3 linked regions of the Nothobranchius furzeri genome follow. The protein of the gene in region 1 binds, or shares a complex with, the protein of each later gene. Links are inferred from orthologs where the notes say so. Each region holds a gene or a part of one and is shown on either strand. Other genes may lie near its edges.

Evidence for each region.
Region 2: the proteins of kpna4 (region 1) and ranbp3b are in contact, whole or in part, in a crystal structure (PDB 5XZX), measured with the Homo sapiens proteins. The link is inferred for Nothobranchius furzeri from reciprocal best matches to the Homo sapiens genes KPNA4 and RANBP3. Residues at the interface, in NP_002259.1 of Homo sapiens: Arg96, Leu99, Ser100, Asp102, Arg103, Pro105, Phe133, Trp137, Thr140, Asn141, Ala143, Ser144, Gly145, Thr146, Ser147, Thr150, Glu175, Gln176, Trp179, Gly182, Asn183, Gly186, Asp187, Asn219, Trp222, Val225, Asn226, Arg229, Asp261, Trp264; in NP_015561.1 of Homo sapiens: Asn114, Tyr115, Cys116, Pro117, Pro118, Val119, Lys120, Arg121, Glu122, Arg123, Thr124, Ser125, Leu127.
Region 3: the proteins of kpna4 (region 1) and nfkb1 are in contact, whole or in part, in a crystal structure (PDB 7LFC), measured with the Homo sapiens proteins. The link is inferred for Nothobranchius furzeri from reciprocal best matches to the Homo sapiens genes KPNA4 and NFKB1. Residues at the interface, in NP_002259.1 of Homo sapiens: Arg96, Lys97, Leu99, Ser100, Ser101, Asp102, Arg103, Pro105, Phe133, Trp137, Thr140, Asn141, Ala143, Ser144, Gly145, Thr146, Ser147, Thr150, Gln176, Trp179, Gly182, Asn183, Gly186, Asp187, Asn219, Trp222, Val225, Asn226, Arg229, His230; in NP_001158884.1 of Homo sapiens: Glu357, Glu358, Val359, Gln360, Arg361, Lys362, Arg363, Gln364, Lys365, Leu366, Met367.

Annotation. Positions count from the first base shown.
Region 1 is NC_091753.1:52,632,043-52,635,542, reverse strand, and holds part of kpna4 (importin subunit alpha-3), read left to right. Parts: intron 1-388; coding exon 389-475; intron 476-644; coding exon 645-814; intron 815-2,463; coding exon 2,464-2,508; intron 2,509-2,644; coding exon 2,645-2,776; intron 2,777-2,864; coding exon 2,865-2,993; intron 2,994-3,500. UniProt on the Homo sapiens protein: Functions in nuclear protein import as an adapter protein for nuclear receptor KPNB1. Binds specifically and directly to substrates containing either a simple or bipartite NLS motif.
Region 2 is NC_091751.1:45,078,052-45,082,064, forward strand, and holds the start of ranbp3b (ran-binding protein 3b), read right to left. Parts: upstream 2,801-4,013; 5' UTR 2,786-2,800; coding exon 2,702-2,785; intron 2,403-2,701; coding exon 2,366-2,402; intron 2,295-2,365; coding exon 2,217-2,294; intron 2,108-2,216; coding exon 2,036-2,107; intron 1-2,035. UniProt on the Homo sapiens protein: Acts as a cofactor for XPO1/CRM1-mediated nuclear export, perhaps as export complex scaffolding protein. Bound to XPO1/CRM1, stabilizes the XPO1/CRM1-cargo interaction. In the absence of Ran-bound GTP prevents binding of XPO1/CRM1 to the nuclear pore complex.
Region 3 is NC_091741.1:65,343,663-65,347,934, reverse strand, and holds the start of nfkb1 (nuclear factor NF-kappa-B p105 subunit), read left to right. Parts: upstream 1-1,472; 5' UTR 1,473-1,738; intron 1,739-1,746; exon of another isoform or gene 1,747-1,889; intron 1,890-3,340; 5' UTR 3,341-3,345; coding exon 3,346-3,384; intron 3,385-4,272.

The DNA.
Region 1 (3,500 bases):
TGAAATCAAACCGATGAAAACTTCTCAGACGTGTGCAAATGTGTGCTGCAGCAAACACATCAACTCTTTCTCTTGTTTTATCAAAGTGTTTAAAGTTCAGCATCGGTGGAAGCTGCTCGTTGGCTCAGAGTGTTTTAATGAAGAGATTCTGGGTGGATGTGTGCGTCCGTGTAGCCTCACACCTGCTGCAGCTGTGGCTCTTTAGTGCAGGAGAGAAGAGGCAGGAAAAGCTGTACTATTCTGTATCATGTAGTTCAATAATGGTTTGTTTAGATTTGAATGGTTGTATAAATTCCACTCATACTCCAGATGGGGATTAAAATACTTCCGTTTGCTCCAGGTTTTCTGGATTCATGTGACGTCTAAATGAAATCCCATTCTGTCGTAGATGCCGTGCCGCTGTTCTTGAGGCTGCTTCACTCTCCTCACCAGAACGTGTGTGAACAGGCCGTCTGGGCTCTGGGCAACATCATCGGTAAGCAGCCGCCAGCACGATCGTGCGTACACCTTCACTGACTGACACTGTTGGCTGAAGGGCAGACGATAATGTTTTTGCCCGAGGCTGTGTGTGTGCTTGTGTGTCTCCCAAAAAGCACATCTTCTGGGTGAGACGACAAAAACTTCAAACTCTTGAATTTGTACAGGTGATGGTCCACAGTGCAGAGACTACGTGATCAGCTTGGGAGTGGTGAAGCCCCTGCTGTCGTTCATCAGTCCCTCCATCCCCATCACCTTCCTCCGCAACGTCACCTGGGTCATGGTCAACCTGTGCCGTCACAAGGACCCCCCACCGCCAATGGAGACTATCCAGGAGGTGAGTCACAGATTAAAAGTGTAATATTGTTCCTACGGGATCTGAGGAAGATCTGAGCGATTCCTTCTCCGTTCCAAATTATTTATTTATTTATTTTTACCAGTAAGAAGTGAAATATTCCCTGATTCTTAAGTACTAAAATAAACTGTTGCATCAAGTCTAGTCACGTTGATGTCAGTAAAGAGTCAGTCTTTCTCTTTGGTTTAATTTCATTAGGTAATTAATGATATTAATGTGTGATTTCAGTAGCGCGTTCATTCATTCATTCATTCATCACATGAATGTACCAGAGTCAGCTGTAAGGTTCCTTCTGTGGCTTTTTCACTTTCCTGTTTTGTATTTGTTATTTTTTAGTGTAATGGTGCGTTTAGGGTCTCTTATTTCCTGGATTCAGATACAAATAACGGTACTGGAAACTACAAGAGTACCTTTATAAATACTTGACCTGGGCTTTAAAGAGCAAGTCACCCCCTACCAGATTATTACTCAACTCCCACTTCCTGTTTAAAAAATGCAACCAATGCTGTTGCCTAGCAGACCGAGAGGGCGAAGCCACTAACACACACACACAGGCTCACAGCGACATTGTGACATCATATGGTACCAGCTAACGTCCTAGGGTAACTCTTAAGCCTGATTCATGCTTCTCCGTCAACTCCAACAGGGACAGACACGCACTCACGGACGGAGACATTTTCCCCTCATACTTCTCCATCTCCTGGGGAGTGTTGCAAAGCAATTCCCCGCCAGGACAACAGAGGGCGTAGCGCTGTTCTGTGGTATCCTGTCATGTACCGGTCCAAGATGTGTGTTTATATTGTGTTTTTTTTGTATTTAAGAGACTTTTTAACACAGACAAATTTGTCTCTCATCCTCCTCCACCTCTTCATGCGCTCCCCACCTCTAAACTCATGTTTTCTGTCATTTCAGTCCACAAATAAAACGCTTGCTGCGCATCTTTTCACTCCTCCAGTCACGGGGAATTAGATGTTCATGTTTTTAGAGTTTTTTCGCGAGGTGTTCTTCAAGCTGCTCCGTGTCTGCCGCTAGTTATCCTCGGCTCTCTTTATGTTTTTGAGAGCGTAATGGCGGCGGTGTAGACGACAGCGGTGCCCTGACCAATCACAAGCTTGTGTTCTCCATCTCGACGGACGGATGTTTAGAAAAGAGAGCTCGACTCCGTCCGTCCTTGCAGAGCTCTCCAGCGGGCCCGCAAGGACGGATAATGGCGTTGCGTGTCTCCGCACTGACGCAGAAGCATGACTCAGGCTTTAGCCAATAGCGATGGCAGATTTAAATTGAAATGCAGTGCAGAGTTTCTACCTGACAACGACACAACACTGACAGTTTTAGGCAGAAAATTAAAATTTTAACTAAAATGCACTGAAGTGCAAAACTAGACTATATGTGTCTGCAGCACGATCAGACACGCATTTATGTGGTTTATCAGAAAAAAAGTAAACTTGGAGGTGACTTGCTTTTTAATGGCCGTCATCACTTGAAAATAATGTTTGAAATGTGAGAGGAACTAAAAAGTTTGGTGCTCCCTTAGTGATCGTGTTTAATTGTAGGTGTGGTGGTTAGTCATCCTACCTGCAGCTTGTTTCCATCTTCTGTTTCTGAAGCCTTCTGTCATGTTGTCTTCTCAGATCCTGCCAGCTCTCTGCGTGCTGATCCACCACACTGATGTCAGTGTGAGTATGCCTCTGCCATACTTGTTTATATTTGCTAATTACAGCGTTTAGTAAAACGGCACCATTTTTAATAAATTTTCAAGTTTCAGTTGTAACACCAAATAAAATGTTTTTTTTGCTGCTCTGCTGCCTGCAGATCCTGGTGGACACCGTGTGGGCTCTGTCCTACCTAACAGACGCCGGAAATGAGCAAATCCAGATGGTCATCGAGTCCGGCATCGTCCCTAACCTGGTCCCTCTGCTCAGTCACCAGGAGGTCAAAGTTCAGGTTTGTAGAGAAGTCTGATGCCTTCCACCTCAGGGCTCATCCGGCACGACGGCTAACCTTCTGTTTTACTCGTCTGCTCCACATCCAGACCGCTGCCCTGAGAGCTGTTGGGAACATCGTGACTGGTACTGATGAACAGACGCAGGTGGTGCTCAACTGTGACGCCCTCAGCCATTTCCCAGCACTCCTCACTCACCCGAAGGAGAAAATCAACAAGGTACCAGTCTCCCGTCTTTCTGCCCCAAACACAGAAGAGCTGAAAAAGCGACACCGTTGGTCTGGAAGTGATGAAATCTGAGACTTTGTGCCGGTGTGGATGCTGTGTGAACGGTGATGCAGGGATCAGATAGACGGTAGGAGGAATTCACAACGACGACGGAGAGGAAGAAGATGGAAGGAAAAGAAGACATGAGACTCGTCTACGTTTGTGGTTGGTGACAGATAGGGGGGCGGAGTGTGAGTGTGAGTGAGTGTGATGTCACGGGTTGGTGGAGTCAAGGGTGCTGAAGTATCTGTGCTGATAGAAGAGTGCATCTGAGACCAGTCACGTTCAAAAAGAGGCCTTCTTTGTGACTGGTTGATGATTAGAGCCTCAAATCACCCCTCCCCTCCCGCAGCACGCCGTCTCAACCAGAGGTCAACGACCTTCAGTCGACCTCTGGACTCTGATCCAGTTCCAACATTTTCCAGAGCGTCGGCCCCAGATGTTTTGATTTCTATCTGA
Region 2 (4,013 bases), on another chromosome or scaffold:
AACACGGTTTTGGTCAAAACTCTAAACAGAGGGCTTGCTGCAGCAGGATTAGTCAAGAAACAGAGGAAGGCAAGCAAAACTCAAAAAAGCACAGTGTCCACTGGACCCCACCGGGACTGTAAGGGGCAAATTTTGGACCAAGACCCTCGAAATGCATACAGGAGGACTCACCACATCAGGTTTAGTTAAGGAACTGGGAACAAGTAATGGTAAAAAAAAAACACCCTGGGGTGCATCTGAACCCATTAACTCATTCACTGCCAGCTGTTCCCTGATCAGAAAAGCCCTTTGCTGCCAGCATTTTTCAGCGTTTTCACAGTTTTTTTTGTAGGAGTCACGGAACGTTGCGCACTATGATGATGTAAATGCCAAAACTGCCAAAACAGAGGAGACTCGCCTTTACATCAGGAAGAATCCGTGCGTTTCGGGCATTCTTCATTCTTTCATAATCAGTTGTCAAATTGTGATCAGCAGAAGCTTTTCCGGTTCGTGCCTCACTTTTTTTACAGCAGCGGCCCAAAACGATCTAACACATGGATTTTCTGCTTCCTGATCACGTGACGTGTGACGTACGCGATGAAGATCAGCTTTAGAGCTGGTGTGTTTGTTCTCACGGTGCGGGGGCTCGTTCCGACACCCACAGCAAAATATGCAAATGACGACTTTAGTCGTCATTGGCAGTGAATGAGTTAAAAACAGAGGAGGGGTTGAGTGTTTTTCTTAGCAACTATTTTATCACCCAGGTCTTACCCGATTCTAATACTATTAGTAATTGTGATTACATGGTGGACAAAGTAAAATGCACCCAAACAACGGAGTCTGGAAGTAAAGACAACACCTGCACCAATTCTCTTTACTAGTGATGGGGCTTTAGGCTCTTTGAAGGGAGCCGTTCGTTCGAGAGCTGTTCAAAAGACTGGCTTTTTTGAACCAAGCGGAGCGATGTCCGTGGGAAAGAAAAAATCAAAAATAAGTAATCTGATAACAGCTAACAGTAACACTTTACAATAAGTCTCTTTATTATCATTACTTAGTGCCATATTAAGCATTAATAAACAAAGGATACCTTTATTAACATTACCCATAATAAATGTCCTCAAGATTAGGACAAAGGGCCGGGGGGGGGGGGGGGGGGGGGAGCAATGCATTACTTAATATTTATATTAATATTAAGCTGTTGTAAATACTTTAATGGTTTATTAATGCTTAATAATCCACTAAGTAACATTAATAAAGGGACCCTTATTGTAAAGTGTTACCCAGCTAACTTGATACAAAGTTACAATAAGGCACATATAAACTAAGTGACCTATAGTTTTAATGAGTTTAATAATAAGCTACTTGACGTTTCCCAACAGCGATCAACAGCAACATTTGCCAACCAAGTTATGTCTTCTTTTTATAATAACAAATAATCTGTTTCTACGGTGTTCAGTTCTGTACTTTCTGAACATTTAGATTAATTGTTTTAAATTAGAATTATATAATTAAAATTTCAATTATGAACAGAACTTCATTACAAGCAACCAAGATCATAATGGACTTTGGAGAATTAGAACCATAATAAGATTTAAAAATAAGGATTTTGAGAAGCTTTCCTTAAGTAGGTTTAGACTATTCACATACCAGGCATATGCATCACAAATGTTTTACATCTTTAGTACGAGCCGTTAAAGATGGTTCACAATGACAGATAAAAAATGAGAAAACTCGAGGTCTTTCAATAGTACTAAAAGACAATCCCCCTTAAAGCCAAACACCAACTCTTTAAATGTATTGGTCCCTAAAAAATTGGGTAATATGTTATGTGATGACATCACCATCTATAAATAATGCAATGAAAGTTTCTTGTTCAGATTTGGGTAACAGCACTGTGAACAAAGTTGCACTGGAAAATGTGTTTATGTATGCCAGTTGTCTTAAACCACTGAAAAGCTAAGTGTTTATGATATGTAGTGCATGTCAGCCTTCCGTAAACCTTTACTAAAGAAAGTTTTATAGCTGTGGGACACAGAAGCTGGTCTGAATAGCTCACCTGGCTCAGAATCAGAGTTCCCAGTCGGAGACTGGCAGAATGTTGAGGGCATGAATACATTGTTCTTGGGAGCTGCAAAAGAGCAGACAGACATTGCACTGAGAATACAAATCCATCTGTACAACACAAGCAAGGACAAGAAAGAAGGTAACTGCTTTGCTTAGTAAGCGTACGCTCTTACCAGAATGTGGAGGTGGGAATGACGATGTCCTTTCCCTTTTTACAGGGGGGCAATAGCTTCCCTCGTCTTTATCCGAGTCTGAAAATTGGAGCAAATTCTTAAACATCTCAAATCAAAAGAAATTTTCAGCTAAGAAACACTTTTCTTACCTTCACCATCTTCTGCGCTTGAGCCCTCAGCAGATCGCTACAAGAGTGCAATAAGACTTTTTACTTATTATACATCCAAAGAGAAGTACCAACCTCATACCAAAAAAGGACAGGATACAAGTTGTTTCCTGCTGAAATACTAAGAAAATCTAATTAAACTAAACTCGCTTTAATCGTGTTTTATGGCTTTTTAAGAGGCTGTGAAAGAATTCAGCTTTAATTTTTATTTTATTAACAAAATTAAAGCATGGGTTGATAATAAATGTTAAATGTCTAAAAAAAAGCACCATGATATAAATAGGCTTTACATTAATGAAGAAAAATGAGAAAACTTACCTTCTGTGCCTTATCTTTTTGGAAAACAAACACAGGAGGTGCAATGGCAGGCTTGTCTGTTAAGAAAATATTTAGGCTAGTCATTCAAACACCAACCTAAAATGTGCTGTGATCTTTTTGCTGCTCACCAAGTTAAAAACTAAAAGCTATGCTAAACATAAGCAATATCTATTGTTTACGACTACAAGATTAACAGAATATACAAAAATAACTATCACATGAGTGAATATGCTAAATCAGTGTGGTCAATTTTGTGTATAAACACGATTACTTCTGTTGATAACATCTAGAGCCATTCTTGCAGTTTCAAGTCCTTCTCTTTAGAATGGGGGACAGCAGTAAGACCGTATCGAAGGAAACACTGCTTTGTTTGTGTGAAAGTATAGCCTGATCAAACATTACTTTAAATAATCTATTATGGCGGAACCCCTCTATCAAGACAATATTATTTTCCCATTTGCTACCTATTATTTTATTGCAGCTAGCAGAAGCAGATCTGATTGGTTACTGAAGAAAGCATTTGGTATTTCTACCTACACCTGCTATAAGCAATGGTGGTTACAATTAAGATTGTCTTATGTTGTTCTAAATTATATGATGTGGTAGGATTTACGCTGTACATGCTTCTTCTAGTTTTGTAAAATGCTCCCAAACTTTTGAGCTATGTTGACAGATCGCCACGTCTTGTTTATTCCGGTGTCGTGACGGCGCACCTGGATGGCCACTACTGCGCACGTGCCTCGAGCAGAAAGACAGAAAGCAGCAGTGTTGCTACAGCAAGCATGATAGAAAAAAAAACAATGCTTCATAGGATGATCAGAGTCAACTATTAAATTTATTGTCAACGTCACAGTGACGAATCGACTAATCGTGGCAGCAGTGAGAAGACAAAATGTCAAGCTATGCAAGTTCTGGATAGATAGCAACACTGTATACTGGGGTTATAATTTAGGGGAGGCCTATTGGTATTAGAAATAATTAGTGCTTAACTAATCAAGATAATCATCTAGAACTTCACAGCAAATATAAGGCCTAAAATAAATACACAAAAAGGTTCAAATAAAAAGCATGTGTGTGTGCAAAATATTTTGCCTAGTTGCTTGAATAAAAAATGTAGTGGCAAACCCCTCTCTTTCGTATGTTTTCAGAAATCCACTCTAATACCTTACAATCCTACAAAACCGTCATGGAGCAAACATCTAGCTACATTATTTAAAATAAAAATATGTCAAAACACTTCTAATTGCATTATATCAATATTGACAATAAACCTTCCAGTAAATCAGCACAAACAATAAACTATGTCTGCAAA
Region 3 (4,272 bases), on another chromosome or scaffold:
TAGAACTACCTGTGTGTGTTTACCACCCAGCTTCAGCTCTTCTGTGGTTGGGTCTGACCCAAGTTAGTAAATGTAAGTCCTCCATCAGGCTTGTGCCTGTTCTAGTGTCATTTTAAAGGATTTTATTTATTTATTTAACCATTAATAGATGTGAAGCTGGAAAAATTAAAATGCTGTGCAAAATTGCATTCATTTCTGTAATTTAACTAGACTGAGAAACCATTTAAAGGCTCAGGAACCTTTACAGGTGTTTCTATTTGCAATTTTAAATTTTAGCTGATTGGGGTCTTGTTAAATATCACACAGTGACCTTTTAATAGTCTAGATAAGTGTAATGTTCCTGTTAGTATTTCCTCCTGTTAAGTGCTTATTTATTTAAATTATTCAGGTTTATAAAAAACATTTGGACATACATTTTATTATGTTCCAGTCATTAGTCATTTATATTTCACTAGTGTAGTAATTCTTGCATGCTTTAATGAAAAAAGTAACTAAGTAGTTATTTTTCTTGGTAATTAGTTACTTTCACAATCTTGTAACTCAGTTAGTAACTGAGTTACGTTTTTGACAAACTAATCAGTAACTATAACTAATTACTTTTTTAATGTAACGTTCCCAACACTGTTGACAATACGATGGATCCTCCTCACCAGAACCCCTGAATAGACCTTACCAGGGAGGCTCAGAAGTCTGATACCCCTGTAGTTGGAACCATGGATGTAGTTTTGGTGGGGGACATGGTCCCCTGCACTTTTAACTGTCCAAATACAATATTACGCTATAAATGGACTCTGGTTGAGCACTAGCATGAAGTGGAAAACAACCGCTTGTGTTGAAGCCTGTTTCCCATTAGAATGTCCATACGCTCATCTATTGGCTATGCTGATACTTGCTAACATGTGATTGGCCGTTCCTGCCACCTGTGTACTCAACAGTTCAGCATTTCTGACATTGCATAAAAGAGCCTCTAGGCTGTAGTTCTTTACATATTTTTGTATACTTAACTGTAAGGATACCTGGTTGACCCCGCCCCCCCCCCCCCCCCACACACACACACACACACACTTCTAAAGTCAAAACTACATCCATGGTTGGAACACACCCTGCGTTCCCCCTTTTACTGCCAATGCAGTGAAACTGACCCGATGTCCACGCGATACTATTATAAAAGCAGAAAGAAAAGAGCCAGGGTCCGGTTAAAGTCCGGACTAAAAAAACCACAGGCAGAGAGCTGAATGTCTGCAAACATCAATAAAATGAATCAATATAAGAAAATAGTAGATCAAAACAACTTTAGCACCATGGGTGACACATTACTCGTTGCTTCTAGATGTTTGGTTTGGCTTTTATGAAATGGTGACACAAATAGCGAAGCTAAAACGTCATAAAGTGGACTTTGTGTGACGACCCGTTTTTGTCGTCAGGGTGAGCCATCTTCTTTTCTCACCTCTCTGCTGGAGCTCTACGTCACAGGGAATTTCCAGTAGGGAAGGAAATCAAGTCACTTTATTCTGACAAACTTGTCACCTGTTGGATTTCATTTGGGCCTAATCTGCGTGGATTAAAAACTGGCCGTGGCTCCAGACCCTTAAAATGTTGTCTGGCTGAAGCGAGGCTGTAAGTGGGTCCGCGGGTTCGGCATGGCGAACAAATAACGAGTCAACTGGAGTGAAGCGGGACGAGTCACACTCATGGTCACACTTCATGCTACCGACTTCCACCTGATCGAGTAAACCAGGTAAAAGCCTGCTACCGACACACGAACCGCGTAAACCCGGACTCTGGCCCGTTTAGTCGGACTCGAGGTCCGAACTTCTCCCTAGACCGTTACGGTGTTCTACGGCTCTGACGGACTGCTTTGTTATGCTACTTACTTCCTCATCAGCCAGGTAACTTTGACGAGGTGTCGTGAAGGGATTACTTTTATAACTCACGATCCCCTAAAATAGATTAAGTGTTTTTCAGAACACATTCTTTGTCACCCCACGACAAATTCGGCCTGTTCATTGCACAAATTGTATGTTTGCTTCAATCTGTTTGTATTTTGAACTGAACTTTGCCCGCTCTTATTTGTGGTAACGTACAACAAAATGCTTAATAGAGGTTGAAAATGAGAAATTATGAAATTGTTAAACTTGCCGATTTTTAGGGCATGATTAGCCAATTGGTTTGGTTATAAAAATAACAATGTAAAATGTATTCCTAACATGAATTTGAAGTGTTTCTGACACGTTAGATTTTCAAATGGACCTTGGCATAACATTCTCCGCATAAGGAACCAAACCTACAGGGCTCGTTCCGGTGGGGCAGCGGGGACTGATAGCTTAGCTGCACCGACAGGACCGAAGGACACGCAGCAACTCTGTCAGCCAAGAGCTCCACTACTGTCACCGCAGCGGAGCCGCTGGCTGGTTGTAACGGCTTGGTTTTTACCGGACTCTATAAGCTTAAACAACAGGAGTCCGGTGGCGGTGATAAGCTGTTAGCTAGGAAGCTAACTGACACGCGCGTTCACAAGAGCCGCGGAGCGCGCGCGGCATTAACGAGCATCAGAAAGAAAGAATAAACTGCCAAAACAGTGCTGGAAAATACGTGTTTTCTTTTAGACACAGATTAACGCATATGTTTTCAATGTGCGAACTATTACAAACACCGTTTTATCAAATCGGAAATTGTTAAGACAACAATTTTCAGTTTACCTTTGAGACATTAAAAAAATAAAAAAAAAATAAATCGTGCGATAAAATAATGCTTTACATCACAGTTTCTAAATAAATGACTTTACACATATTTTAAATGCATTCGCCTGTAACTGTAATCAGTAATGAAATGTTTCTGCTCATCATTTAAGCAACTGGTGGAAAAAAAAGACCTTTAGGATCGTTGGCGTTTAAATGATTTATAGTAGCTGATTCTGCTTCCTGTTCCAGGTTTTGCTCAGTAGTTCATTACATTTAGATAACATTTGCCTAATAGTTGATCACCATTAATGATAAAATAATGAACATGAGTTTTGCAGCTCTTTAGCTTGCTGTGATGTTTAACGAAGTAGCAGGAAGTTTGGCAGCTTTTACATGGTTCAACTTGAACATGCGCTGCACTTTAGTTTATATTTATTTGAACAAAGACAATACATTAAAGCAATGTGACAGTTGATGGATTTGCAAACTCAGGTTTTTGTTGGGCTTTTAAAGTAAAAAAAAAAACAACTTATAAAAAGATGTTGTTAATGAACTATTTGCAGAAGTGCCATCTTTGTTATGTTTTAGTAAAGAAGGCTGGTTTGTGGTCCATGTATATTATAAAACTGTTGACTTGATATTGTTTTTTACTTTTGCAGACACAATGGCAGGAGACGACCCCTTCCTTCATCCATCCAACCAGGTAAACTCACCTGCAGCTCATTCCATTACCATGATGATCTAGGGCAGTGGTTCCCAACCTTTTTCCCAAGGGAGCCCTTTTTTACCAGTAAAATTTTTGACGACCCCCTCCCATTCTCTCTTCCAGTACAAACAGTATTAAGAAATGATCAAATTGTTCAAGCACATTTGAATATGCTTTGATTCAATAGATAACAGTAATAGTAGGCTCCAGTACAGAACAAAGTCATTAACAAAACCAAACAGAGCATAATGTGCTTGACAGTTTGTATTACTTTTCTGAACACATTGTTTCTTGTAAACACTGATAAATCAATCATTCATTTCAATAAACGTTTGACACATAAAAAATACACTGAGCAAAATGTACTTAAATGTGTATATTACTGTTTGTACTAGATTATTTACTGTAAAGGCTGTGATTAATCAACCAGTCGTATCTTTAATGAACTTTTGACACTTGAAAATAAAACAGTGAGCTGAGCAAAATGTTCTTAAAAGTGTGTTACTTTTTCTGTACTAATTATTTCCTGTCTTAATATCAGTAAACTTTTCACTCATGAAAAAAATGTGAGCAAAATGTAGGCTATAAACAAGTAATAAATTAAGTTTTAACCCCTTAAAGTGGAGAGGTCCTGGTGACCCACTGAGAGGCTTTGGCGCCCCCTTGTGGGGGTCGGGACCCCCAGGTTAGGAACCACTGGGTTCACTCTCTGTTACACTCTACACTCTCTGTGATACAAATCCTCCACCTTCATCCTGAAAACTTCAACTTTCATCTCAACATAGTCTGCAAGGAAATCTGGCTTCATAGTCCAACCTTCAGATGTTTGTGCGAGACTCAGAACAAACAAAGCTGTGAATAAAACAGTTTTTTTATTTTAATGCT